Macaca mulatta: one gene and its partners. The protein of the gene in region 5 interacts with the protein of the main gene of each other region in a biochemical or structural test. Links are inferred from orthologs where the notes say so. Each region holds a gene or a part of one and is shown on either strand. Other genes may lie near its edges. The genes, in order: MAPK8IP3, JUNB, ATF2, ELK1 and MAPK9.

Region 1 (5,129 bases), on a different chromosome or scaffold from region 5:
TTAGTGTCCGAGCCACTGGAGGAGACTTGGCCTCCGCAGCTGCCCTCTGGCCCCCCACGGCTGCTGGGTTCCGGGGTGCAAGTGAAGCAGCCTCCCTGAGTGCGTCCGCGGAGGCCGCCGCGCCGGGACCAGGCCTCTTTAAGCGCAGGCCCCGCCCCGGGCGCCACCGCCCCGCCCCGCGGAGCCCGCGCCCGCACCGCCATCATGATCTGCCTGGTGCTGACTATCTTCGCCAACCTCTTCCCCGCCGGTGAGCGGAGCGGAGCGGCGCGGGCGGGGGGTGGGCGGCCGGTGCTGGGCCGGTCTGACGCCACGTCCCCGCCTGCCCCGCAGCTTGCACCGGCGCACACGAGCGCACCTTCCTGGCCGTGAAGCCGGACGGCGTGCAGCGGCGGCTGGTGGGCGAGATCGTGCGGCGCTTCGAGAGGAAGGGCTTCAAGTTGGTGGCGCTGAAGCTGGTGCAGGTGGGGGCGCGGGGCGCGGTGGGCGAGCGGGGGCGCGGTGTGGGGGGAAGGGGGGCGGGGACCTGGGGACCTGGGGACGCCTGGGTGCCGGGTGCGGGCGCAGGCGGCCTGACCCTTCCGCAGGCCTCCGAGGAGCTGCTGCGCGAGCACTACGCCGAGCTGCGTGAACGCCCGTTCTACGGCCGCGTGGTCAAGTACATGGCCTCCGGGCCGGTGGTGGCCATGGTGAGTGCCCGGGAAGCGGGCGGACGGCCCCGGGACCCCACCCCTGCGTGATACCGCCCCCGTCCCCCGCACAGGTATGGCAGGGGCTGGACGTGGTGCGCACCTCGCGGGCGCTCATCGGGGCCACGAACCCGGCCGACGCCCCGCCCGGCACCATCCGCGGGGATTTCTGCATCGAGGTTGGCAAGTAAGGCTCGCCCCGGGGACGGGCCCAGCCCCGTCCGGCCTCCCCCAATTCGGCCCTCGTGGGACCCGTGCCGGAGCTCTCTTTCCCGCGCTCACGCGCGCCTCTTCCGTTCAGGAACTTGATTCACGGCAGCGACTCGGTGGAGAGTGCCCGCCGCGAGATCGCGCTCTGGTTCCGCACAGACGAGCTCCTGTGCTGGGAGGACAGCGCCGGGCACTGGCTGTATGAGTAGCCCGGCAGGTGCGCCTCGCAGAGGCTCTGACACCCCAGCCTCCTCCAGGGCCCAGGTGGCCGGGCTTCTGGCCCCACCCCGCAGCACTTGGAACATCCACCTGTCAGGACGTTGCATCGAGGGTGGCGCGGGCCTCTCCAATCCCTGGCGTACAGGGCTTTCTGCCCGAGGAGCTGCTCCAGGAGCCTGCGCGGCTCGCCTGGAAACGTGCCAGAACACTGTCCTGGTGCCCAGCCCAACATGGTCCAACGTTTCTTTTTATAATAAAGTGAAGTCCTCGTTTTCGTGTCGGTTTGGGTCCAGAAACAGACGTTTATTACATACAGAGCAGATATGTGGGTTTGCTTGCAGGGCTAAAGCCTGAGGAGAATCGTCACCCCTCCCCCAGCCGCACCACTGCTCAGCCCGGAGTCACTTCGAGATCCTGGGGGAACAGACGAGGGAGCAGACATACATCACAGTGGAGGTGGCAGGGATGGTGGGGAGAAGCCAGCAGCGCAGTGGCTGCAGCCCACGGTGGCCAGCGGGGCTTGTGGGGCAGCTCCCCAAGATCTGTGCTTCTCTGGTTGGGGGTGGGTGCGGGGGCTGGGCTGCCCTCATCAGGGCCTCCCAGACAGGAGTGCAGTGGGCCTGGAAGGTAGGAGTAGGCCAGCGAGGCCCGGCTGGACAGGGAGAGCAGTCCAGGGTGGCCTCTGCCCGCTACGGGCTTGGAGTCGGCTGGGGGCGGCTCCATCCTCAGCCCCATGGGCCTCTGCTTGGTGGCCTCTTGCTCCCGGGGAGCAGGCCACAGCGGGCAACCCTAGGCACTTAGTAGCGTGTCTGGGAGCTGGGCTCCGTGGAGCCCCGTGCAGGAGGCAGGCCCCAGGAGCACATTATCCCCCATCAACCTGAGGCTGAGCCTGCGTCCTAGGACTGAACCCGGAGAGGCCAGGGGCCTCCCCTTCTTCCTGAGGCCTGGGCCTGCCCTGGCAGCCTGAGAAATCCCACCCTGGGGGCTTCTGGGAGGGACAGGACTCCAAGGCCCACTCCTCCAAGGTGAGTCTTCTGCCCAGGCAGAGCCTGGGGGGACACGGCGAGAGCCTGCCCGCGTGGGCAGGATGGGGTAGCAGTCTCTCTTCTCAAGCAGCTGCCCGAGGGAGCTGGGCCTCGTGCTTTCATGCCAGCTCCCTGGGCAGGGGACAGCCGGAGGGGGGGACAGACAGAGGATAGAGGCTTGAGGACGGGGAGGCCCCAGAGAAGGCCGGCTGGGGTGCAGGCACCTGGGCAGCCCGAGGCCCACCTCCCTGGGCAAAGGCTAGTGCCTGGCCCAGCTCCCCTAGGCAGAGTGAGGGCCCGGGAGGCAGGGTGGCCCCATGAGCAGCATGCAGAGGTGGGCCCAGGGCAGGCAGCCTCGGCGGTGGGGAGCCCCTGCCTCCTCCAGGGGTGCTGGGGAGTAGGAGGCCCAGGGTGGATCCAGGGCCACCTTGGGTCCTGCCTGCGCTGGGCCCAAGGTGCCCTGGACTTGAGGACTCTGGGCTGGAAGCTGGCCAGGAGCCGCCCGGGAAACTGTCCCGAGAGCATCTTCCCCTCGGGTGGAAGCACCCCTCCCTTCTCCTCCCAGCTGACTGGCATCCCCGCACTCCCTGCCCGCCGGAGGGGTGATGGGCATCCCCGCACTCCCTGCCCGCTGGAGGGGACCAGACTCAGGTGAAAGCTGCAGGTTGAGAGGTTAGAAGAGGGGTGGCGGCGCCTGGCTGGCTACCCCGCAGGGCAGGCGGGGGTCAGGTGGTCGGGGGTCCTATGTACAGGTCGGGCCAGGCAGGGCAGTGGCCTCACTCGGGGGTGTAGGACACCTGCCACACGATGATGTGACTGCGCTCCGCCTTGGACAGCACGGGCTTCACCTGGCTTATGTCCCCTGTGCCCTCCTCCGTCTCGTCGTCCTCTCCGTCTCCTGCAGGCAAGGCAGCAGAGTGAGGGCCAGGCTCCCCCCGCGCCCAACCTCAGTCCCGTCCCTGGGCCCCGCTCACCAATGCGGAAGTCGATGTAGCCCTCCCCGCCGCTCAGCACCAGCACGTTCCGCAGCTTCTGACCCTCGGCCTCCGAGGCAGGGGCAGCTGGCCCAGGGCCCTCAGCTGGGCTGTCCAGCACACTCCCGTTCAAGGTGGCCAGCACATTCCCTGGGATGGCAGAAGCGATTCAGGACAGTGGCCTCCTGGGGGAGGCGGCAACCACTGGCGTGCAGGGGATGTGGATGGCAGGAGGGGCCCAGCCTCACCTGGCACCGAGACAAAGAACTTCACAGCATCGCGGTGCCCGTGGAAGCAGAGCTGGGCCTGGGCCATGGAACAGTAAGGGATGAAGCTGCTGGCCGCCCTGTCACTGCTGTCATCGCCGTACACGTGGATGATGCCCCCAGGACGGGCGCCCTCCCCAGAGGTGGGGGATGTCTTATTGGCTGCAGGGAGAGAACCCAGAGGCGCTGAGCCCGCATACAGATGGAGGGTGGGAGAGGCTCCGTGGGGGGACAGGAGGTGGCTGGGCTTACCTCGGAGCCCCAGGAGCTGGCCTCGGTGCAGGACCACAGCTGGGGACACAGGAGGAGCATGGGAGAAGAGGAGAGTGGTCAGCGAAGGGGCAGCGAGGCACCCTCCCATGTGGCCCTGCAGAGCCACCCCCGGGAACCCATGGACACCTCTGGCAGCACCACTGCCCCTGCAGGGGTGCATGCCACTCACTCTCTGTCAGGGGGATGGAGATGACCACTCCGTTGCCGGTGCCCACCCAGAGCCGGCTGCCCGCGACAAGCAGGGCTGTGATGCGCACGAAGGAGAAACCCAGTTTGCCGGTGCCTGTGGGGGGAGAGTGGTCAGGGCGGCTGGCCTTGAGCCCCCCGCCACCCCACCTGGCATGGCCCCTCACCCAGCATCTTGCTGACGTAGGGCTCAATGTCCACGTCCTGTAGGTGCTGGTGCGTGTGTGCGTGGTAGAGCCGCAGGGTGGAGTCCAGGCGGATGGACACCCATACGCCATCGCCGATCCACGCCAGCTGCCGCACCTGGCTCTCCCGCCGCGGGTGGGCGTCAAATGACTTCTGTGGAGTCATGGTTGCCCATCAACAGGGCTGGGGAGAGGAGAGGAAGTGGGGAGCCCCAAACCTGCCACAGCCCCAGGGCCACCTATAGCCCCCTCAGATCTTCTTTGCGCCTGCTTTGTGCCTGTTGGAGCCTGACTCATAGGCAGTATAGGGAGGGTGAGACCCACATGGGGCTTTGTGGACTTCCGTATGGAAGGTGCCGGGAGGGTGAGACCCACATGGGGCTTTGTGGACTTCCGTATGGAAGGTGCCGGGAGGGTGAGACCCACATGGGGCTTTGTGGACTTCCGTATGGAAGGTGCGGGAGAGCTGCTGGCTGGCAGGAGCCTCTTCCCCTCCCTGGGGGCCCTGGCCAGCACTCGCCTCAATCTGCATGGTCTTGGGCTGGATGACGTGCACCTTGTTCTTGTAGCCACACCACACGCGGTCGTACACAACAGCCATGCAGCGGATGGAGTGGTGCGGGTGGCCCAGGTCCATCAGGTGATAGTTGCTCAGATCCCACTGGCCATCTGGAGGGAGCCCCGAACACCTGCTCAGGCCTGGCTGGGCCCCACCTCTGCTCGGGATATCAGGGGTTGAGATACCCACTGCCAGGCTAAGGAGAGGCCTGGAACCCCGGGAGTCCCTTGGCTAAACACTGCCAGGGCCATCAGCTGCCACCCACACACCCCGTGCTGCCAGGCCCCACCTTCACCACGGTGGAAGATGGCCAGGGTCCCGTCCGCCAGAGCCACCAGCACACGGCCTTTGACATGCCTGAAACAGGAATGCGGTGAGCCTGGTTTGGGCCAGGCTGTGCAGGCCCCCTCCGCCCTGTTCCCCCGTGACGCCCGGCCCTCAGCCTGGGTCACCCACACCAGGCTCAGCACGGAGTCCTTCAGCTTGATGGAGTGCAGGCACTTCTTCCAGTTGGCCACAGCCGAGTGCACGTAGAGCCTGTAG
Region 2 (5,790 bases), on a different chromosome or scaffold from region 5:
AGGAGGACTGCTTGACCCAGGAGTTCCAGACCAGCCAGGGCAACATAGCAGACCCCATCTCTACAAAAGTAAACAAAATTAGCCAGGCACAGTGGTGTGTGCCTGTACTAGCTAGTTGGGAAGCTGAAGTGGGAGGAACTGCTTGAGCACAGAAGGTCTAGGCTGCAGTTAGCTATGATTGCACCACTGCACTCCAACCTGGGCAACAGGGCAAGACCGGTCTCTAAAACATAAAAAAGAAAAAGTCGCCCCGTTAAAGGTCCATGTTCCCACTCCATTTTACAAAGCAACTTTCCTCTCTGCCCCATCACTGCCACCTTGACCTGTGTGTGTGTGTGTGTGTGTGGTTTTTTTTTTCCCTCTTACTAGCACTTACCACCACCTCTGAAGAACCATGCTTGCTTGTTTATTTATTGTCTTGTCTGGAGGGGTCCAGACTGTGTCTCCAGGGTCTAGTTGTTCTAGGTATTGCACAAATGAATTGATGAAGTGTCTGTTCCACTCACCTTACTGCCTGTCTAGTTTCTCTACCTGTTTTTCTCCACTGCTCTGGGGGCTTACAGCCCCGAAGCCGGCCAGACTCCCTCCAGGCGTGCCAGCAGCACCCGCACCGGCACCCCCACCCCCAAGTGTCCCAGCTGCGCGGGAGGGAGCCCAGCGCGAGGGCGGTGGCGGCGCCCAGCGGCCCGAGCAGCCGCCCCGGCAGAACCAGACCTGGCAGTCGCCCCGCTCCTGGCCTGGCACCCGGGAGGGGAAGCTGGCAGGCGGGCGCCGCCCTTCCTGGCGGGGGTGGGGGTAGAGGGGAGGGTGTCGGCAAAGCCGCCCAAGCAGCAGCAACCCTCTGCCCCGGTCAGGTCAGACGGAGGGGGCGTGGGCGCGGCGGGGCCCAGGCGCCAGTGTCTTGAAGGTAGCACAGAGGTGGCTCCCGGGGCCCAGGAGCGCTGCCCGCCCACCGCGGGCCCTCTGGACCCAGGCCTGGGGCTTTCCGTGCCCGGGCAGCCGCCTGCCCGGGAAAATCCCGGCCCCCTTCCCGGCGCTGCGGCCCTGCCCGGCAGAGCGGGGGAGGGGATTCCCGGAATCTGCCCAGAGACCGCGGTCGCGTCACTGGGCAGAATCGGTCCTTGTATGGGCAACGCTTCCGCTGCGTCAGCGGGGAAAGCCCCGGCGCGCACTGCTGGGCGGGGCCGCGCCTGCGCGCTCCGCGTCTCGCCCCCAGCGCCCTGCCTTCAGCTACTGTGTCCCTGGACTGCGTCCCGCGCCCCAACCATCCAACCCTGGAGATTCGGGGACGCGGGAAGGGTGGGACTCCCGGGTTGGGACCACAAGATGCCTGCGCAGAGCCGACGAGGGGGACACATACAGGACCGAGCCACCAACAGCACTGAGCTGGGGGCACACCAGTGCTTTTTTTTCCCTCCGCCCTCCCAGCTTGGAAAAAAAGACAACAGAAATTAATAAAGAACAAATTTTTTTTTTTTTACTTAAATAGATTCAATAAAAAGAACAAACACACACACAAACACAAACACGTCTTAAAATAAACTCTTTAGAGACTAAGTGCGTGTTTCTTTTCCACAGTACGTTGCAGAGAGGGGAGGGCAGGGGGCGGGGGTCCCCTTCCCAATGTCCCCGCGGGCTTGAGTACCGGGCGGCGGGGCCAGCTCCGCCGCGATCGCCCCCTCCTCCCCTCCCTGTTAAATACACAAATATATTATATTCAATATGAATCGAGTCTGTTTCCAGCAGAAAAAAAACATACAAAAAAATGTGGAAGGGGGGGCTTGTAAACGTCGAGGTGGAAGGACTGGGCGCAGGGCGGGAGTTCAGTGTGGTTTGCGGCGCCCCCAGGTCCCAGGATGGGTGCCCACCGCCTGCTCCCTGGACCCCAGTGGGAGACGTGCGCCCAGCCGTCCAAGCGAGGGGGTGTCCGTAAGGGGACAGGGGGCGCTCAGAAGGCGTGTCCCTTGACCCCAAGCAGCAGCTGACAGCCGTTGCTGACGTGGGTCATGACCTTCTGTTTGAGCTGGGCCACCTGCTCCCGGAGGAGGCCGGCGGTACTCGACAGCCCCGCGTTCTCGGCCTTGAGCGTCTTCACCTTGTCCTCCAGGCGCGCGATGCGCTCCAGCTTCCGCTTCCGGCACTTGGTGGCCGCCAGCCGGTTCCGCAGCCGCTTGCGCTCCACTTTGATGCGCTCTTGGTCTTCCATGTTGATGGGGGACACCGGCGGCGTGGCGTCCCGGCTGCGCGCCTCCGGCACGGTCTGCGGTTCTTCCTTAAAGGTGGAGGCGCTGCGGCCCAAGCCCAGCTGCGCCGGGTGGCCACCGGCGAAGGGTGGCGCGTGTGGGAGGTAGCTGATGGTGGCCGTCGGGTATGAGCTCCCGGTCCCGACGGCAGCCCCGGCGCCTCCCGAGGACGCAGAGGCTGGGGAGTAGCTGCTGAGGTTGGTGTAAACGGGAGGTGGCTCCGGGCCGGCGTAGACGCCCCCGGGCCCAGCCGGGGGCCCCCCGCTAGCGCCCAGGGACACGTTGGGGGGTGTCACGTGGTTCATCTTGTGCAGATCGTCCAGGGCTTTGACAAAGCCGTCGGCGAAGCCCTCCTGCTCCTCGGTGACGCCGCCCCCTGCGCCCCCCGCACCTCCACCGCTGCCACCCCCGCGGGGGTAAAAGTACTGTCCCGGGGGTGTAGGCGTCGTCGTGATCACGCCGTTGCTGTTGGGGACGATCAGGCGTTCCAGCTCCGAAGAGGCGAGCTTGAGAGACGCGCCGGTGTCCGAGCCCTGACCAGAAAAGTAGCTGCCGCCACCGCCGCCCTCTGGGCCGGGTCCCCGAGCCCCAGGCGCTTTGAGACTCCGGTAGGGGTCGGCCAGGTTGACCGCCAGGCTCGGTTTCAGGAGTTTGTAGTCGTGTAGAGAGAGGCCACCAGGGGCCCGGCCGTATCCCGTAGCTGTGTATGAGTCGTCGTGGTAGAAGGGCTGTTCCATTTTAGTGCACATCCGGGCGGCCCAGGCGGTCTGGGGAGGGTCCCTGCGGGGCCGCCCCGGGCCTCGCTGCAGCGAGCGGCGAGCTCTCCGCTGCGGTGGCCGGACTGGGTGCCTGGTCGCGCGTTCTCGGGGGCTGGCGCGGGCGGGGAGCAGCCAGCCGGCAGCTGTGCGCAAAAGATCTGTCAGGCTTCCCGAGCCCCCGTCGCCCTCTCCGGCGCGATAGCTTTCCTGGCGTCGTTTCCCCCAGCTCCCAGCTCCCAGCTCCCTGCTGGCTCCGAAGCTGGCCTGGCCGCTCTCAAGGTCCCAGCCGCTCAGCCTGAGCCACACGCCTTTATACCGCGCTAGTCAGCCACGGAAGTGCGCTCCGATTGGCCGTCGCCGAAGCCGGGCCCCCGCGCCCCCCTCTTCGAGCGTGGGGAAGGGGAGGAGGCGGCTCGCGTCACTGTCAGGAAGCGCGTGTCCTTGTAAACAGCGGCCACGGGCCGGGTGGCTCGGCGGGCCTGCAGGGGGAGGGGCTCAAAGGACCCCGGGGTACGCATGGAAGGAGGCCTGGGGGCCCAGGCACATGAGTGAGGGGTTTCAGGGAGGAGGATGATTTCATTGAAGTCCACTGGGACAAATACCAGGACCTGGTACGCAGCAAGTAGGTTGAGGATCTCAGGGTGTGCGAAGAAACCCCTGAGGTACCCAGAATACGAGAGGGGTAGGACAATTCATTGGGAGACCCCAAAAAGCAGGAATGAGGGTTAAGCACGGTAAATCGGGAGGGGTAAGGAGACACCTGACCCAGGAATTGACTGGGGGTCCCGAGCATAGAAGGATGCGGGGCTGGAATTTTCACAGGATGGAGGAGGGGAGAGATCAAAAGGGGTGAGTGGGCGGAGCTGCACGACCCATTAAATTGAAAGAAATGAGTAGGGTCCAGGAGCCCATGGGAAGGTCTGAGGGCTCTCCCGTAATTGGGAAGGAGGAATTAGGGGAAATCTAGGTATGCAGAAAGCGAGTAAGCGTCCTGCGGTACACTGAGGCAGGTAAAATATGCAGGGTAGAAGATGGAGACAAGTCTGCCAGAAACTGGTGACCACTGGGGTCATCTGCGAAGCCCGGATGAAGGAGAGAGTCAGAAGGGTCCGGACACATCTTCGGAGCAGAGAAGACAATAAGAGGGTACTCAGTTGACATGCGAGGAGGGGGCTTTGAGGGTCCTGCGCACCAGGACTGCTGGATCTTCCACGACTGGTGCTCCCCCTCGTGGGTAACCTCCTAGGCATCTGTATTCTCTGTCCCCCATCCTAAAACTCTCCCCTATTGACCCTGGGCTTTGCCCGACACCGTGTCGGCTCCTGGAGCCTGGACCCAGCCCGACGGCTGGGGCGCGGTCGCCCAACCCCACTCCCTTCCTTAGAAACAGGCTGGGGAAAGAGCGCCGAGGCAGGAAGTGTGGCAACAGCCCCGGGGGAAGGAGCCCGGCCCTGTCTCCGTCACTTGGATCCTACGGGACCGTGCGCCCCGCCCTGGGTCCCACCGCATCCTGCGCCTCGGAAGAGGAACCTGGGCGTGCGAGCCCCCGCGGAGGCCCGGGTGCGTGGAGCCTGCCCAGCCACGGAAGCCTCCAGCCACCATCCTCTCCCCTCAAGCAATGGTTCCGCCCGCGGCGCCTGCAGGGGACCGCGGAGGCAGGCAACATGGGACTGTTCCATTGGCCCGACGGCGGGGGACGCAGTCGAGGAGCGGGGCCTGGTCGCCATGGCAACAGGCGGGAGTCCGCAGGCAGGACTGAGGGCGGGGCGGCCCCCGGAGTGTCTCCCCGCCGCCCATATTAGGGCACAGGAAGAGGTGGGACCAGCGCTGTCCTGGGGCCCAGAGCCAGAAGTGGGGAGCCCGAGTATCTGCCAGGACCCAGGGCGCGCCTGGGCCCCCGGACTGCTAGTCCCGACCAGCCCCGACCGCCGCCCCCGGGGCCCCCACGGCCGCCTGGCCCAGCCCCGCCCCGCCCCGCCGCTCTGGGGCTGCGTCCTGCCAGGCCGGGCCTGGCCCAACCCAGCCCGGCAGGTCCCCGCCTGCCCGCGGGCCTGGGTCGGACTTCGCCCCCGGCCCGACGGGGCGCGGAGAGGGCGGGCCGATGCCTCGAGGCGCCCCCGGCGCCTGGGCGGGCTGGAACGGCGGCTGCCTCCTCCCTCGGGTGGGGTGCCCTTCCCTTCTGCCAGGAGGTCTGGGGCTCCTTCCCCAACACCCCGCACTCACTCATGTGGGTCAGGGGCCCCACTCTCGTTTGAGTCTGCGGGTCCCATCCATCCATCATCCAGAATACCTAGAGGGAGCCCCCCCTCCTTCCCTAGAGTGGCTCCTTCATCTGAGGGCTTCCCTCCCCCAGTCAGAGAAGACCTGAAAATCTAAGGGGATAATATAAGGGAACCCAGAGCCCCTTCCCGGGGAAGGGCTGCGGCGAGGTGCAGATGGTGAGGCTTCCAGTTAGACTTAAGGTGGGACTTCCGAGCAGTTTGTGTGTGAACCCACTAGACCAAGAGGTGAGAAGCCTAGTCTCTCTCTCTCTCAGCTTCCCAGGCCTCTGTCTTCTGGAGGATGAAGAGAGCCTGTCTCTTCTTTAGGGTAGAAAGAGGCTAAGGGATAGGGGTTAAACAGCCTTTCTGGGGCAGCCTAGATCTCACCAAGTGTGGGAAAGAGAAGGAAAACGAAAGAGGCGAAAAAGAAACTGAGCTATGTGGGGGCAGGGGGAAGTCCAGCAGTGCAGTGGCCTTGCTGGAGGAAGGTCCCAGCAGAAGCTGGGGGCGTCCCGTCCTTGGAGGGTC
Region 3 (4,692 bases), on a different chromosome or scaffold from region 5:
CGCGCACACACATACACAGACACACACACTCTCTCTCTCTCATTTATGCACGCTTCCCACATTATAATTACATTGTTCTAAAGATAGATACTGATTTTTTTTCCACGAGAAACATTATCAAAATTTGCTACTAAAAGATGACAGTGCTTTCACAAGAATAAGTACAAGTTAGCTCGCAAGTACAAGACAATGGGGGTAAACAGTTTTAAATTTTCTAAGTAGTAATTTTAGGCTTTTCTGGCAACCATACCATACTTAATTATGCATAAACTTTGCAGTTTGTAACCTGAAATCTGTAAAAACAACAATAAAAAAATGAAAAACAAGAGCTAATTTCAAAAATTATTAGATATTTGATAACCCTGTATCATACATTATATAATTTCATATTTCTTAGCCTCAAAACACAGGTGTAAAATATTGAATTTAAGACTTGAAAAATAAAATCATTTTTGAAATGCTGAAAATTCTAAAATTTGTTTACTTAAAACCTTAAATAAAAAAGGAAAATGATTATAAATGACCTTGATTTAGCTTAACAATGTGCATAAAAGCACTGTATGTCTTTACCATGTTTTCACTCACTTAAAAAAAAGTGTTCTTTAATGTTTTTCCTTTTGCATAATGTGCAAAATAAAAGGCAAAAAGATTAAAAGCAAATTTCTATCTTTCTCTTGCCTAGTGCTTTTATGACTCCGTTAACATTACAAAGTCAACAGGGACTATGCAAAACTTTGGTATAAATGATAATACTACTACCATCACAGTTGAGGGTTAAGGGGTGGTCAAAAGAAATGGAAGTGGGAAGAAAGATTCAGTAACACCCCCATTTATTAAAACACCAACAAATTAAAAGTGAAATAAACCACAATGAATTATAATACAATTTACACATTGAGCACAGAAAAATTAATAAATCTACTAATATTTATAAAAAAAGCAAAATCAGTCTTTTTCCAGAGACTAAAAACTGTTTTTCAGTCTGATCAACTGCTGCTACACCAACTTTAGAGCCAAATTTAATTTCAAGTAAAAAAAAAAAAATTTACAACCACAGATTTCGCATAAATGGAAACTGGTCTTTCCTTGATTTCCCTTTGAAGTCACTAATGAGTATCTAAAACTGTTGTACTGCAGGTTTTTAATCAACTTCCTGAGGGCTGTGACTGGGAGGAAGGAGCCATAACGATCTGTGAAAGAGCAGGCTCTGTACTCTGGTCCGCCATCTGGGTGAGGACTGAAGTGGCTACAGCTTCTGCCTTGGAGGTTGAACTGACTCCATTGGATGTGCTGACCGAACTATGCTGTATAGCTTCTGTATGTGGACTACTCGGCACTGAAATGTCTTCTGAACTATCATCTTTATCAGCAGCTGGGTGAAAAAAAGAAAAATTATTCATTTTCCTAAAATCTGTAAGAATGCACCATTATGCTGAGGCAATATACGGAGTAAAAAGTTAGAAAGCATCTTACAAAACTGATTAGACAAGTTGGTATTACAGGAATTGATATAGGTCATGAAGTAGGCAATTTTACCTGCAATAGGTCAAAAGAAGGCACAACCATGCATATGGAAACATCTGGGTGCCCACTGCCTTATGGAATAGAGTTGAAGAAATATTTGCTAAATAGTGTTAAAGAAAGAAAATGAGGTAGAGTTTGGAAGACAGGCTCTTACAGATACAATCAAATATAAGTATCACATTTAACAAACTCAGTCTGGTTGGCCTACATGTCATTCTTATTATAAGATAAAAATTTATAACCACATGCATAAACAAAATGAAGTCTTACATACAAATTACATCTTCAAATTATTCCCTCTGCATTCTCCAGAACTGTATTTATTCTGGCTGATTTTCCATCTATTGCAGCCATGAATGATTATAACACCTGATTCTAATGATGCATACATATGAGAATAAGCAATATTTAGAATCTAAATGCCACCAGCTGTTATAGTTGCATGAATAAATTGGGATTCAAGTAAAAATCCATACAAAACTCTAAACATTGCAACTGAAAAGATACTCAGGAAAAGGCATTCTAAGTATTTACAAAAATAAATCTGCAAATACTTAGACCTGAACAAGTCTTACACCCTTATTTTAATAGAACAGAATACAGTAATTTCATTTAGTAAAAATTTGATATAGATAACACACAAATATTTATAGTATATGTAAGTTATGAGGAACAATGATAACATGAACACCTGGAAACCGTGCCGCCAACCTAAGAGAGAACACTGCCATTAACACTTCTGCTTCCTGGAGGTTCCTGTCCTCACCAAAGGTAATCACCACTCTGACATTTCTTTAACCATTCTCTTGTTTTTCCTTTGTAGTTTTAACACATAGGTATGTATCCCTAAGCAACATAGTTCAGCTGTTTATTCTGAAACATTTTAAAAACAGTATCACACTGGATGTACTCTTTGGAACCTTGCTTTTTTCACTTGGCATTAAAACTTTTTTTTATTCAGTGTTCAGAAGTGACAATAAGTAGGCTTTTAAAATCAAATCTGAGAATGTGTATTGGCCTGCTTACTGATGGCCAGATGCCCATTCTGAAAGTCAATTAGTAAAAAATATTGTGGATATCTTATGAAGCAGGACTTAGCCTATGATTTGCAATGTAGAAGATGCAGAGGGGGATACCTGAGAGTGTCAACTTTAGCTAAAAAAAAATTATTAATCTTGTGCATTTTCTGAAATAAAGTTTTTACAGAATTTTTCAACATCTGCCTCAAATCCATGCATTTTTGAAAAGCAGGTTTTAAAATACATTAATGAGATGGAACCCCATCTTCTCTATAACATGCTATAAATCAAAACCATACCCCTGGATACTTGACCTCAAGGTACAATAAAACAACAACAACAAAACCAACCACCAGAAGTAGTATTCCTTTAAAAATCATACAAAATGGAATGAATACTTAAAAAATTATAGATTCAGATGGTATATATGCAGGTGTGTTACACGGGTATATTGTGCAATAGAAGTTTGGGCTTCTACTGAACCTATCACTGAAATAGTGAACATAGCACCCAATGGGTAGTTTCTCAACTAATGCCCCCCTTCCCCTCTACTTTTCTGATCAAGCAATAATGAATGTTATAAAATATTTATAATTCAGATATTAAAATAGCCAATCATTACATGTACAAAGAAAACAAAACACTGGCAATGACAGTTTAACTGGAGGGAATACTAAAAAGCTCTATTTGTTTATTTCACCACTATTCTTTTTTTTTTTTTTTTTTGAGATGGAGTCTCGCTGTCACCCAGGCTGGAGTGCAGTGGCCGGATCTCAGCTCACTGCAAGCTCCGCCTCCCGGGTTCACGCCATTCTCCTGCCTCAGCCTCCCGAGTAACTGGGATTACAGGCGCCCGCCACCTCGCCCGGCTAATTTTTTGTATCTTTTAGTAGAGACGGGGTTTCACCGTGTTAGCCAGCATGGTCTCCATCTCCTGACCTCGTGATCCGCCCATCTCGGCCTCCCAAAGTGCTGGGATTACAGGCTTGAGCCACCACGCCCGGCCCACCACTATTCTTTAAAAGAACAACAGGCTGACGTTTCCCTGAATGTTGAGTTCAAGGGATACACCAGCTTTTAAAAATAAAGAGGCTGATCTGTGATGAGTGGTATAAGGAAATGTAAATACATACTGGAGGCAACAACTCAAAATGAAAACAGTAAATTATAAAGGATGAATGCTTACCTACAGACTTTCAGAATTAGTAAAAGCAATGTGATATATTTGCACCTATGTCCAGTTCTAGGTGAGGGGAGAAAATGACTGGTGTAATCACAAGCACTAGAGAGATACAGAAAGCCATGGTGTACTCAAAGAGCCACTTCTAGCTCTACCTAAGCTAAAAGAAACCAGCTGTTTGGCAATTCCGTAATCTTGAAAGTTCTCTACCTATGTCCACAAGTTTCTTTTTCTTATTTGAGATAGGGTCTCCCTGTCACCCAGGCTGGAGTATTATGGCACAATCACAGCTCACTGCAGCCTTGAACTCTTGGGCTCAAGTGATCCTCTTGCCTCAGCCTCCCAAGTAGCTGGGACTATAGGTGTGTGCCAAATTGTCTGGCTTTTTTAAACTTTCTGTGGAGATAGGGTCCCGCTATTTCACCCAGACTGGTCTTGAAGTCATGGGCTCAAACAATCTTCCCGCCTTGGGGTCCCAAAGTGTTGGGACTACAAGGCATGAGCCACAGTGCCTGGCTCATACATTTTTTCAGTAATAAAAGTATTTGTGGTTGATTAGTCCCTAAGAAGCTTTTCTTCCAATTTATAATTATAGAGACAATTATAATACAACTTTAATTATGCCCAGGTCTGAAGAATGTGAATTCATGGCAATAACATCACTTTTGTGCTTTATTCTTCATGGAACCCAAATATTTAAAACGTACTCTTTATTATTTTCATTCAGATTTTATATTACTTAACTGTTGGGGTGACTGTCATGGTTTTCCCATGACTGAGGGGTCTTCTTAGGAAGTTGGACTTTCAGTGCTAAAACTGGGTGGGACAGACCCTATGGCTGTGACTTAGTACTTTCACCTTTACTTGAAAGATTTTGTAACATTCCTTAATTTCTACTAAATCTTAGTTTTGATTCACAAATGTCTTTAAAGATTTAGCTAGTATTACAACTCACCACTGTTAGCAAGA
Region 4 (6,270 bases), on a different chromosome or scaffold from region 5:
GCACTCACCAATGTATGTGTAGGAAGTAGGGATGGAGTTAGCGCCGGCCCAGGCGCCTGGAGGCCGGAGCCAGTTCCCGATCCTGGGGTCCGTTCGGGTCCTGGCCCACCTAGCAGGCTTGGGCTGAGTGGAAGCTCTAGGTCCCGGGGCTTCCGGCCCTTTTGTGGCTGGGAGATCTCAGGGCTGGAAGCCACGTGGCCGCCCGCCTGCCCTGCGGTGTCCATAACAACCGCGGGCAGCCGGGCTGGCACGCCCTCCTGTGGAGGGACTTCTGGCTCGGCCTTGGTAGTTTCCGGCACAAACCCTCTCTCCCTGGCAACTTCCAACTCTTCCTTGGGCCCTTCCACTTTCACTTCTGGGGGCAAAGCCCGGCCCAAACCTGGCTCCACATTCAGCTCTTCCGATTTCAGGTTTGGGGCCTCGGGCGGAGTCAGGATGACCTGGGAGAGGAGCAGGTACAAAGAGGGTAAGGATTGTTGGGGCCACAGGATTCTCCTGTGGGCTACCCAGTGATTTCCCCGGGAAAGTGGCACTTGGTACTGGGGACATCAGAGCAGGTTCTCCAACAGGACATAGGACTTCATCAAGGAAGTAGGGCTTCCTCTGGGGCAAGTCCTCCTATGGGACAGGGGACTTGGGGTAAGACAACCTGAAGCAGGTGGGAATCTGAGGGATATCATCCTCATTCATTAAAACAGTGGTTCTCAAAAATTTACCTTCCTCTGAACCAGCAACATCTGCCTCATTTGGTAACAAGTTAAAAATACAAATTATTGGGCCCCTCCCCAGCCCCACATATTCAGAAACTCTGGGGGTGTGCCTGGCAATCTGTGGTTTAACAAGCCCTACAGGTGATTCTGATGAGCGCTAGAGTGTGAGAACTAGTGCATTAAACAAATATATTTCAGGCACCTACATGTTCGGCAGCTACTAACTGTAGCACAGTATTCTCCCCTTTCTGTCTCAGGGTTTGTGTAGCTCTCTGTCCCATCCCTCCTTCTAAGAGGATGTCTGTGTTCTTCCTTCCACCATTATCTCCTTTAACAGGAGCACTATGTCTCTTCTACCAGCCTCCCTCATCATCCGGGGATTACACATCCGTCCTCTTTACTGCCTCCTCTTACTGGATTTCTATATTCCAGTCCTTACCTGCAGAGGCAAGCCGGCTTCCTCAGCCTCCAGGCAGGCCTCCAAGGGGCTTGGACTGGTGCTCCTGCTCCCCGAGGGGGGCGCTGCTGCTCCTGCAGGAGCTGCATTGGGGAGCACCACAGCAGGCCGAGGATGAGGGGGTGGCTGTGGCTGCAGAGACTGGATGGTGAAGGTGGAATAGAGGCCCGAACGCATGTACTCGTTCCGGCTGCTGCGTGCCAAACCACCCGGGCCTGCCATTCCTGCACCCTTGGGTGTGCCTGGCTTTCCAGAGGCAGTGTCCCCTGGGGTGGCATGTACAGCAGCAGGGGCCACATTTGGCATGGCGGAGGTAACAGACACCTCTGGCTGGGGCGGGCAGTCCTCAGTGGAGCACCCTGCGACCTCAGGATAGGACACAAACTTGTAGACGAACTTCTGGCCGCTCACCTTGCGGATGATGTTCTAGAAAGGGAGGAGAGGAACAGAGGGCCTGAGAGGAAAGGGGCAGGCTGGAGGCAGGGTGTGTGTATGTTGGGGTGGAGTGGTGTTTCTCTTCTCCTAGTGGCTCTCTTCCCACTTGCCCCTCTCTGGCTTTCCTGTCCCTCCTCTGTAAGTTCCCCTCTCAGCCTATCAGCCCATTTCCTCTCCCGTTGGTTTCTACCTCTTTCCTCTCCCCCTAGATTCCCCTTATCTATACCCCTCCCTAGTTCCTCCCCTTTCTCTCTTCTCTCCACAACAATTCTTTCTTTAAGCCCCTTCCCATCCACCCCTTTCCAAGCCTCCCTCTGTCACTCTCCAGGTCTATCTATCTGATTTTCCCACCCCCTCCACACTGTGGCTCCTCTTCACAATGGGGCCCGTGAAGGGAAGGTAGTAGGTGTGGGAGCAAGTCTTCTTGGCTCCAAGAACCAGGGGTTCACAGGCCAGGCCTTGTGGGTGACTGTCAGGACACAGTTTTGGAGACTAGCAAATGCAGTAAGACAAGAAAATGAAGTAACTGATATAAATGTTGGAAGAAAGTAAATTAATATAGATGGATGGGGCGATGAATTATTAATACAGAGGATTATTTGAAGCTAATGACACAGAAGTGGAATAGGGCAAGGTCACTGCAGAGGAGAGGGCGAGGAGGCCTCATTATTAATACCACTGTGGAGGTTGAAGCTAAAGCGGTAAGAAAATGAAGTAACTAACAGCAATTAGACAAGAATATTAAAAATACTGGTATAAATATTGGGAGAGGGCCTATATCAAGGCTGGCTTGGGTGGGTCACAGAGCATGTTTGGGGTTTTTCAGGTCTGGTGGGTCTCAGAGATGACCTAGCGTTCCCAGAGGGCACAGTGAGGGAGCCTCATTACTAATATTGTTCTGGAGGGTTGAGCTCAAGGAATAAAATATGAAAGTGGAATAAATGCCATAAACTATGAAGGGTATGCAGCATAGGTCCAGGGCTGTTCTTGGGGGCACGGGCAAGAGGAGTGTGGGAGCACTAGGGCATTCTGCGGAAGTCTTAGTGCTGGTCAGATATGTCACAGGGTGGGCCCGTGTTTCTCAAAAGAGGAACGAAAAGGGATATTCATGAATATTGTTTGGAAGTTTCAGCAGGAGGAATAAGAAGATGAAATAACTTGTATAAATATTGGGGGGAGGGGAAACCCAGCAGTGGCCTGGGGGTCTGAGAGGGCAGAATGGGGGAAATTTTAAATTTTAGCTGTAGGAATAAGATAATGAAAACAATTGATATAAATATTGGGGTAGACCAGTGCTGCTCTGGGAATTTAAGAAGATAGGGTGTGGAAGCTGGTACTAAACATGTTGTTACAGAGGTTTTAGCTTAAGGAATAAGAAAATAATTGGTTAAAAATGTTGGGGTCCCAGAGGACAAAGTAAGCAAAAGTTGGTATAATACTGTCAGGGAGGTTTTGATTCTAGGAATATGAAATATTCTGGAATAAGAGAAGATTATGAAATAACTAGGGAAGCCCAGCACTGGTCTAGGGCTTCCAGAGGACAGAATGAGGACCAGCCATTATTAACCATGTTTTCAAAATGTTGGCTATAGGAATATGACACGAAAATGAAATGCGCATGGCAGGGCAGCATCACTGTGGGGATCTCAGAGTGGGAGTAGGAGTCAGTATTAATAATGCAATGATGGTTTTTGCCAAAGCAGTAAGACAAGAAAGTAGGTGAGATAGTGCTTAGGGGCCCAATACTGGCCTGACAGTACCAATGGATGGGTTAAAAACTGATAAATTTTAACATTGTTTTCAAAGTCATAGCTATGGCAATCAAAACAAAATAAAATCTCTGACATAAATGTTAGGGGGGGTCCCAGCCCTGGTCTGAGAGACTGTACCTTGTCATAGTAGTACCGCAAGGCCCGGCTGAGCTTGTCGTAATTCATGTTGGTCTTGTTCTTGCGTAGCCCCCACAGCCGGGCCACCTCCTCTGCATCCACCAGCTTGAATTCACCACCATCCCGTGAAGTCCAGGAGATGATGTGGCCATTGCCTTGCTCTCTCAGCAGCTGCAGCAGAAACTGCCACAGCGTCACAGATGGGTCCATCGCTGGGGGAGTGCTCACGCCATCCCAGGGGTACCTGGAGGGCAAACAGCTGAGTTGAGAGGCTGTGGACATAGGAGGGGCAGAGGTCAGGGGGAGGAGGATTCCTTTTTTTGTCATCTTTTCTCCATCTCTGTCCTCAAACCCTACCATCATTCCCTAAACATTCCCAGACTAACTTCTAGCTCCCCAATCCAGCTTGGGATGCTCCCTGTGATGGGATACAACTCATGAGTATCTTAGGATGGTGTGAATGTATTTTGCCTGTGGGACAAATGTGAATCTGTGGCGGTCAGAGGGCAGACTGTGGTAGGCCAGATGATGCCACCCCTGTTCCACATCCTAATCCTTGGAACCTGTATGTTATTTATACTACGTAGCAGAAAAGAACTTTGCAGATGAAATTAAGGTTACAAACCTTAAGACAGGGAGATTATTTCTGGATTATTTGATTAAATTCAATCTAATCATATGAGCTCTGAAAAGCAGATGATGAAGAAAGAAAGGTAGCTCAGAGATGTGATGACAGAAGAGGCAGGGGAGATTCAAAATGTGAGAGGGACTCAACCTGCCATTGTTGGCTTTGAAGATGGAGGAAGGGGGCTCAGAGCCAAGGACTGTGGGTAGCCTCTTAAAGCTGGGAATGGCCATCAGCTGATAGACAGTAAAGAAACAGGGAATTCAGTCCTACGACCTCAAGGAATTGGATTCTGCCAACAACTTGAATGAGCAGGAAATGGATTTTCCCCTAGAGCCTCCAGAAGGAACACAACCCTGCCAATACCTTGATTTCAGCCCACTGAGACCAGTATGGGACTTCTGACCTATAACAATTTTTTTTTTTTTCTGTGGACTCTCAAAATTCTCCTCAGGTCAACAGGTATAACAGCTATAAATATAACTCATTATTTAAAAAAAAAATTTTTTTTTTTGAGACGGAGTCTCGCTCTGTCACCCAGGCTGGAGTGCAGTGGCGCCATTTTGGCTCACTGCAAGCTCCACCTCCCGGGTTCACGCCATTCTCCTGCCTCAGCCTCCCGAGTAGCTGGGACTACAGGTGCCCGTCACCACGCCTGGCTAGTTTTTTTTGTATTTTTAATAGAGACGGGGTTTCACTGTGTTAGGCAGGATGGTCTCGAACTCCCGATCTTGTGATCCACCTGCCTTGGCCTCCCAAAGTGCTGGGATTACAGGCGTGAGCCATTGCACCCAGCCACAAATATGTTATTTTAAGCAGCTAAATTTGTGATAATTTATTACAGCAAGAATAGAAAATTAGTTCCATCCCCCTTATTTGAGTGTTATCTGTATCTTCTACATACCATATAAATTCTACCATATAAATGTTAAGTTTTTCAGGTTTTTTTTGCCAGAGCCTTGCAAAGGCTGCTCACTCCACGTGGGGCTTCCTTCTTCTGCCTAGCAGTCTTTCTCATCTTTCAAGTTCCACCTTGAAGGTCCTTTCCTTTATGAAGCCGTCCTAAAACTGAACGCCTGATCTCTCTGTCCTGTTACTATCCCTGAATGTTCTCTTTGTTTTTTTTTTTTTTGAGATGGAGTCTCTCTCTGTCGCCCAGGCTGGAGAGCAGCGTAGTGGCACAATCTTGACTCACTGCAACCTCTGCCTCCCAGGTTCAAGTGATTCTCGTGCCTCAGCTTCCCGCATAGCTGGGATTACAGGTACCCACCACCACGACCGGCTAATTATTGTATTTTTAGTAGAGACATGGTTTCACCATGTTGGCCAGGCTGGTCTTGAACTCCTGACCTCAAGTGATCCACCCGCCTCCCACCTTGACCTTCCAAAGTGCTGGGATTACAGGTGTGAGACACCATGCTCGGCTCTGAATGTTCTCTTTCTCGATGACAGCAATAATTAACATCTACTGAGAGCTTAATACACATCAGGCACTGTTCTAAGCAGAGGCAATATGACCTGCTGGACAACTGCCCAGGCACTAGGGCCAGACTGCCAGTGTTTGAATCCTGGTTCTGCCACTTATTAGCTGTGTGACCCTGTGCATATTCTTTTTCTTTTCTTTTTAGAAATGGGGTCTCACTACGTTGCCCAGGCTGTTCTTGAACTCCCAGGCTCAAGCAATCCTCTCTCCCTGGCCTCCTAAAGTACTAGGATTATAGGCATGAGGCACCACGCTTGGCTGATATTCTTTAACCTCTTTGTACCTCAATTTTCTCATGTGTAAAACAGGGATAATGATATGCCCATTGCTAAAATGGGGATAACAATACCTAGTTCATGAAGATATTGTATAGATTAAATATTATATGCCTGAGGTATATGATAAGCTCTAAATATTAGTTTCTGATTTGTTCATAGTCCCTTATCTGCTATTCCAAAATCCAAAATGCTCTAAAAGCAGAAAGCTTCTTATACCTCTTTTGGCAGCAAAACCTGATTTGAAATGAAACAAGGCCCTTTCTGGTCTTTATTGATTCTCACTTAGTGTGAGAGTGTTCATACATTTTGCTGCATAAATATGAACACAGCCGACTGCAGAGCTTACTAAGGGGTGTTATGTAACATCGTATATGCATCATGTTACCTTCCTGA
Region 5 (6,139 bases):
CATCTTGATGGAGGAATGTACCCTAAATCTGACCAAGCCTTGTCTAGATCCAATCACTAACTGACAGAGATTACAGAGAAACACATTAAATTACACTGCAGAGATGCAATCAATCAAATACCAACTGTGGAAATGCTACAGAACAACTTGATTGCTTCAACAAATAAACTACCAAGAAAACAAAGAAATAGGAGGGGGATCTATGGATGAAGAGAAACTTAAAAGACGTATCAACCAATCAACAATGTATGGACCTTATCGTGCTCTACCTTCAAACTATTAAGGAAACTTAAAATTCATGGGGCAGCTGGAAATTTGAAGATTGACTAGTTATTTGATGATATGAAGGAATTATTACTTTTTCACCTTTAAAAGAGTCAGGACCTTTAGAGACCCACCGCAGTGTGCTGTATAACTACTGCATACCTACCGAGCACCCTGAGGTTGTGCCTGTCTGTATAACTACTGCATACCTACCGAGCACCCTGAGGTTGTGCCCATCTGTATAACTACTGCATACCTACCGAGCACCCTGAGGTTGTGCCCGTCTGTATAACTACTGCATACCTACCGAGCACTCTGAGGTTGTGCCCGTCTGTATAACTACTGCATACCTACCGAGCACCCTGAGGTTGTGCCCGTCTGTATAACTACTGCATACCTAGCGAGCACCCTGAGGTTGTGCCCGTCTGTTTTACAGATGAGCCCGATCGCTTCTGCACATCACCCAGATAAGCAGCAGACCCACTGGGAGTCTGACTCAAAGTCCTGATCTGAACCACTGCTCCGAGCTACCCTACCACATGTATTCTCCCGTTTAGCTTTGTCTTTAACAAACATTTCCTGGGCACCCACTGTGTAATTAGCATCCTGAAAAATAATGAATGAAATGACATGATATTTAGGAATTCCTTGAAAATAATTATGGGTGGTAAGTGTGTAAGAGGATAACATTAGAGATGAAACAAGATTGGTCAGGAGTTAATAACTGTTAAAGCAGAACGCTATTCTGTTTAGTTTGTATATGTTTGAAAATTCCCATAATAAAAGTTAAAATTTAAAAAATGATGTTGAAACCGGATCATACAATCAAGTACAAAATATCAGGAATTAATTATTCTGAAGGAAAATTATGGAAAAATGGCACCTTCCTAACCAAGTGTCAGGTATAACTACTGTATGTATGTAGACCAAAAATAGTTGCCCTATTGGCAAATCAATAGTCTTAAGAAGAAAAAAAATCTGGTCTCTGTTTTATGTCTCACGAAAACTGGTCTAGTCACTATTAACTGGTTTGTCTGGTCCTTTTCTTTATCCAGAAAATTAAAAATATTTTATCTTAGACACATTCAAGAATCCCCTCTAATGTTTATTCAGGGAACCAAATAAACAGATTTTAGTCTGTGAACAAATTAATGTTCTGGCACCCTGAAAATTAAATTACCAGGAAAATCAAAGCTGTCCAGAGAAGTCTATGCAAAAATAGTATTGTTTTTAACTCTGCAGGATCCTTTTGAAGAAAAATTTAAAAGTTAAATCAAGGAAAACATTAAATAGATTGGTGGTCATTCTTCCAGAAGAAGTTAAAAGCCAAAAGAGAATACTCAGAGCTGAGGGACTCAGGAAAGAATCCTTATCTAGGGAGAGATCTGGGTTCGGATTCCACTCACCAGCTGCTTGCTAAGAAGCAGACTACTCAAACTCCTGAGCTTCCGTTTCCACAGGGCTCCAGTTACAATCAAATGAGTATCTGGGCTGGCACCTGGGCAAACAGGGCCTGACTCTCCTGGCCTTAGGCTACCTTTCCTGCTCTCCTCACAGCTCCTCCCTCCCACACAGCCACTCCTGGAGGATGACAATCTGCAACCAAGCTGAATGAATCTGTATTTGGCTTGGCTCACAGCATTTAAAAAAAAAAAAAAATTAATTAGCTATTGCCAACATTTAAAAATCGGAACAAATGTGGAGTGCTGCCTTCTGTTTTAGAGACAGGGTCTTGCTCTGTCACCCAGGCTGGAGCACAGTGGTGCGATCATAGCTCACTGCAGGCTCAAAATCCTGGGCTCATGGGATCCTTCCACCTCAGACTCCCAAGTAGCTAGGACTACAGGTGGATGCCACCACACCTAGCTAATTTTCAAAAATTTTTTGTAGAGACAGGGATCTCACTGTTGCCCAGGCTGGTCTTGAACTCCTGGCCTGAAGTGATCCTCCCACATCAGCCTCCCAAAGTGTCTGAGATTACAGGCGTGAGCCATGGCACTAGTCAAATTCCACCTTCTTCTAGAAAACTGCTGGGTAAGGTTCCAGTTCTTCAGAGTCCCCACGACTCTGTGCCCTTACACCTGGCCCTCCAGACTGATTCTCAACTCCACAGTGGGCTATGGTCCTTACCTGGCCCTGCTCCTTCATACCTCTGCCTCTCCCTGCCTAGCAAATTTCTCATCACCCTCAAGGCCCCCCAGCATCACCTGTCACCTCCTCCACATTTCCATGGCATAGCCCCTCCACGACAGCAAGGGTTGCACAGTCCTGGAACTAAGTGTCTGCATGCCTGCCTTCTCTACTGGGCTCCTGGGCTCTCTTCGGAAAGGGACCCTGTTGCTATCTGCCTTGTGTCCCTAGGGCCTAGCAGAAAGCATGACCTAGATAATGCAGAATTCAGTAAATGTCTCCTGCATGTGTGGAAGAAAGCTAGAGCTAAACCATTATAAAAATGTGAGATTTTACATCACAGCTTGTTCCAACGGTTAGCAATTAAAGGGGTCAAGGACACCAAAATGTTTCACAAAATAGAACAAGCTTCCATCTGCTTACAAGTTTCACACGTTAATCAGAAGTCACTAAATTAACAGATAAAGCAGAGACAACAGGGAGACTGGGCCATTTCTTTGATCATTCATTCATTCATTGAGCTGATACTACTGAATACTTACTGTGTGCTTTCTAAGTACTGGGGATAAAGCAGTGGACAAATCAGACAGCTACCTGTTTTCACAAAGTTACATCCTAGTCGGGGAGACAGAAAATAAACAGGCAAATAAATAGAAACGTTTCAAACCAGGTAAGAGCTAGGAAGGAAATTTTTAAAATAATGAAATAGCATGACTAAGGGAAGAAAGAGGGTGGTCGAGGAGGGCCTCACCCAAACCGAGACATCTGGCCAGAGGAAGGAGCAGAAAGAGCTACTTGTGCCAAGATCACAGACAACTCCAAAGACGAGGAAACAGCAAATACAAAGGTCCTGGGGCAAATGCGGGCTGGCATGTTCAAGGCGGGCGAGATGAGTGGACTGGGGCAGCAGTCTTCTGGGAGAGGGGTGTGGTGGTAAGGGATGTGGGCTGGGTCCCCTCTGGCACTGCTGGACACTGAGTGTGCAATGACAAGGCAAGGGAGGCGTGCGTGGGGAGGCGGGAGGCTGGGCGGATGAGGAGGGGGTTCCTACACCACTCACACCGGCAAGGGCCAGCACCCTGCCCAATCTTCCACAAATGTTCACCGGCGTCCTGCCCAGGCGTCTGCATACACTCACACAGCCTGACAACAACCCTGTCCAGAAGAGGCATTTCCCCACCTTCCTGAAGGCAAAACCGCGGCAGAGCGAGGGTCAGTGCCTTGGTCAAGGTCGCGGGGACGCGACCCCGGGCCCCTGGGCCCCCGGCGCAGGAGTGCAGCTGTTCGCCCCACCTCCGCGAGGGATGGCGCCCGCAGACCCCACGGGCAGGTCGGCCGGGCCAGGCCGGGGAGCAGGCCCGCAGCCCGGAGCCGCTGACAGCCGGGCGGAAGGGGGCGCCTGCGGCATCCCCGAGCACAGGGGCGACGGCTGCGGCTGCCAGGGCCCCGCAGCCCCCGGCCCACCCCGAAACCCCGGCCGCGCGGTTCCCCCGCCGCCCCTCCCCGCGGGCCCGGCCCGAGCAGCCGCCGCCAGGCCTAGCCCGCCCGCCGGGCTCACCTCGCCTCCCCGCCGCCGCGCCACGGGGAGAGGGCGGGCGGGCGGACTGGCGGCGCTGCGTGCTAGTCACTCCTGGCTCCGCGGCCCCGGCTCCGCCACCGGCCCGCCCCGCCGCGCTCCGCCCCGCCGCCGCCGCCGCCGCAGTGGGTGTGAGGGGCGCCGGGGCGCTGCGACCCTTCCGGTCCCGCTCCCTTCTCTGCCGCTGCCGCCGCCGCGGCGCCCGGTCTGACCGACCCTCGGGCCGACCAATCAGCGCGCGGAGAGCGGAGCAGGCGCGGCCAATGGCGCCTGGGGGGCGGGCCGCTGGAGGTGGTGTGGGCGGGGCCGGGGGCCGGGTCGGGCGCCCGAGGTCCTGGGCCGGGGTTCCGTGGGTTCGACGCCCCCGGGCCTTTCAGTGGCGTCGGCCGACCGGCCATGGCGCTCGGTTGCGCGCCGCGCACGCGGTGAGCTGGAGACGCAGGCACTGCGCGTCCCACCAGCTGAGCCCGCTGTCCGCGCGAGGGGGCCGCAGCTCGGGGGAGAGGGTGGCCCGGAGGACCGGGAACCGGGCTGGAGGCGCGCGGGGCTCACACCGCGGGGTCCGCGGGGAGCCGGGCCTCGCCTACAGGTGCAGGCTCGTGGCGGCGAGGCGGCCTGGAGCAGCACGGGAGGCCGCCCGTTTCGGGGAGAGCCCGGGGCGATCGCGGGGAGAGGCCGGCCTGGCGTCCGGGAGCCCGGCGTGCTAGGGCCCGGGAGGCGGGGCTGGCCTTGTACTCGGTTGCTCGCTGCGGCGCCGCAGGAACGGGTCTGTGGGGGTGTGGGTGAGGCCAGAAGTCGGGTTGGAGAAGGGGAGGGGGTGCGAAGAGATGGCCGTGTGTAGACAGGTTACCCGATGGGTCGGTGACGCAGGAGGGGAGTGCGCTTGGTGGCGGGGTGACTTAGTTGACAACATTTAAAAATTGGGAGGTGCGGCAGGGCGCGGTGGCTCACGCCTGTAATCCCAGCACTTTGGGAGGTCGAGGCGGGTGGATCACCTGAGGTCAGGAGTTCGAGACCAGCCTGGCTAACCAGGTGAAATCTGTCCCTATTAAAAATACGAAACAATTAGCTGGGCGTGGTTGCGGGCGCCTGTAATCCTAGCTACTCGGGAGGCTGAGGTAGGAGAATCACTTAAACCCGAGAGGCGGAGGTTGCAGTGAGCCGAGATTGCACCATTGCACTCCAACCTGGGCGACAGAGTGAGACTCTGTCTCAGAAAAAAAAAAAAAGGGAGGTGCTCAGTCAAGTCTCTGAGAGGGGTGGGGGGCGGGGCGAGGAGTCCCTTGCTCAGGGCCCCCTAGGGACTGGGACCCGTTGACTCTTGAGTTGCTTTTGAGGCTGGATCAGGTACCAGCGGCCTGGGGGTCGTACAGGATGGGAGAGGCCGGGACTTGGGATGTTGCCAGATCTACGTTGAAAAGTGAAGCAGGAAGCGCGGCACGAGGCTATGCACATGGGGAAAACCGCGGAGAGCCGGGCTTTGGGGACTGGAAGAGTGGGAACAGTGGTTGACAAATGGTGAGTGGGGGGTAGAACAGCAGAAACACAATACCAGTATCCACGGAGTGGCCAGGGCCAGAGTTGGGAGAAGGAACAGGACTCTGCAGATGGGGAGGGCAAGGGGCTGGGTGGTGTGAAGGGTGGTTGCAGACTTTGGGGAGGGCAGCTAGCCTGTGACCCAGGTTCCAAGGGCACTGAGGGCTGGGCCAGGCCGCTTGGAGGCACCAGAGCCTCAGAGGAGGGGTGGGGTAGAGGAACGGATGCAGCATGGTGTCCTCCTTGGCCACCAGAGGGAGTTTGCTAAATCTCAGCATGGCTCATCGCGGCTTGAAATTCTACCTCGCAGTGTGGCCTGCATTGAGGAGGGCCCACACCTGTCCTTACCTCAGACTCACCTGCCACCTGCCTCAGGTGCATGAGAGAAAACAGGAAACCAGAAATTGCCAGGATCAAGGATCATGGGAAAAGAGTAAAAGCCTAGCTGTCAGAGCTGAGGTTCCACCAAGGAGCACTGATGGGTGCTTCTCCTCATTAGGAAGGCTACGCGGTGGCTCACACTTGTAATCCCAGCACTTTGGGACGCCGAGGGGGGTAGACTACCTGAAGTCAAGAGTTCGAGACCAGCCTGGCCAACATGGTGAAACATCATCTCTACTAGAAATACAAAAA

Evidence for each region.
Region 1: the proteins of MAPK9 (region 5) and MAPK8IP3 form a complex in vitro, tested with the Homo sapiens proteins (2 studies listed by BioGRID). The link is inferred for Macaca mulatta from reciprocal best matches to the Homo sapiens genes MAPK9 and MAPK8IP3.
Region 2: the proteins of MAPK9 (region 5) and JUNB form a complex in vitro, tested with the Homo sapiens proteins (2 studies listed by BioGRID). The link is inferred for Macaca mulatta from reciprocal best matches to the Homo sapiens genes MAPK9 and JUNB.
Region 3: of the proteins of MAPK9 (region 5) and ATF2, one has a biochemical effect on the other in vitro, tested with the Homo sapiens proteins (4 studies listed by BioGRID and IntAct, with this or other methods). The link is inferred for Macaca mulatta from reciprocal best matches to the Homo sapiens genes MAPK9 and ATF2.
Region 4: of the proteins of MAPK9 (region 5) and ELK1, one has a biochemical effect on the other in vitro, tested with the Homo sapiens proteins (2 studies listed by BioGRID). The link is inferred for Macaca mulatta from reciprocal best matches to the Homo sapiens genes MAPK9 and ELK1.

What each region holds. Positions count from the first base shown.
Region 1 is NC_133425.1:2,991,389-2,996,517, reverse strand, and holds the end of MAPK8IP3 (C-Jun-amino-terminal kinase-interacting protein 3), read right to left. Parts: intron 5,124-5,129; coding exon 5,043-5,123; intron 4,944-5,042; coding exon 4,876-4,943; intron 4,697-4,875; coding exon 4,548-4,696; intron 4,182-4,547; coding exon 4,010-4,181; intron 3,940-4,009; coding exon 3,826-3,939; exon of another isoform or gene 3,783-3,825; intron 3,675-3,782; coding exon 3,636-3,674; intron 3,570-3,635; exon of another isoform or gene 3,546-3,569; coding exon 3,366-3,545; intron 3,268-3,365; coding exon 3,118-3,267; intron 3,042-3,117; coding exon 2,920-3,041; 3' UTR 1,397-2,919; downstream 1-1,396. Other genes in the region: NME3 (nucleoside diphosphate kinase 3), read left to right, coding at 205-250, 334-464, 588-689, 764-876, 991-1,108.
Region 2 is NC_133424.1:13,344,970-13,350,759, reverse strand, and holds JUNB (transcription factor JunB), read right to left. Parts: upstream 3,294-5,790; 5' UTR 2,993-3,293; coding exon 1,949-2,992; 3' UTR 1,452-1,948; downstream 1-1,451. UniProt on the Homo sapiens protein: Transcription factor involved in regulating gene activity following the primary growth factor response. Binds to the DNA sequence 5'-TGA[GC]TCA-3'.
Region 3 is NC_133417.1:80,007,686-80,012,377, forward strand, and holds part of ATF2 (cyclic AMP-dependent transcription factor ATF-2), read right to left. Parts: intron 1,373-4,692; coding exon 1,146-1,372; 3' UTR 1-1,145. UniProt on the Homo sapiens protein: Transcriptional activator which regulates the transcription of various genes, including those involved in anti-apoptosis, cell growth, and DNA damage response.
Region 4 is NC_133426.1:47,661,265-47,667,534, forward strand, and holds the start of ELK1 (ETS domain-containing protein Elk-1), read right to left. Parts: upstream 3,702-6,270; coding exon 3,492-3,701; intron 1,594-3,491; coding exon 1,150-1,593; intron 441-1,149; coding exon 9-440; intron 1-8. UniProt on the Homo sapiens protein: Transcription factor that binds to purine-rich DNA sequences. Forms a ternary complex with SRF and the ETS and SRF motifs of the serum response element (SRE) on the promoter region of immediate early genes such as FOS and IER2.
Region 5 is NC_133411.1:189,304,158-189,310,296, forward strand, and holds the start of MAPK9 (mitogen-activated protein kinase 9), read right to left. Parts: upstream 4,157-6,139; 5' UTR 3,953-4,156; intron 1-3,952. UniProt on the Homo sapiens protein: Serine/threonine-protein kinase involved in various processes such as cell proliferation, differentiation, migration, transformation and programmed cell death.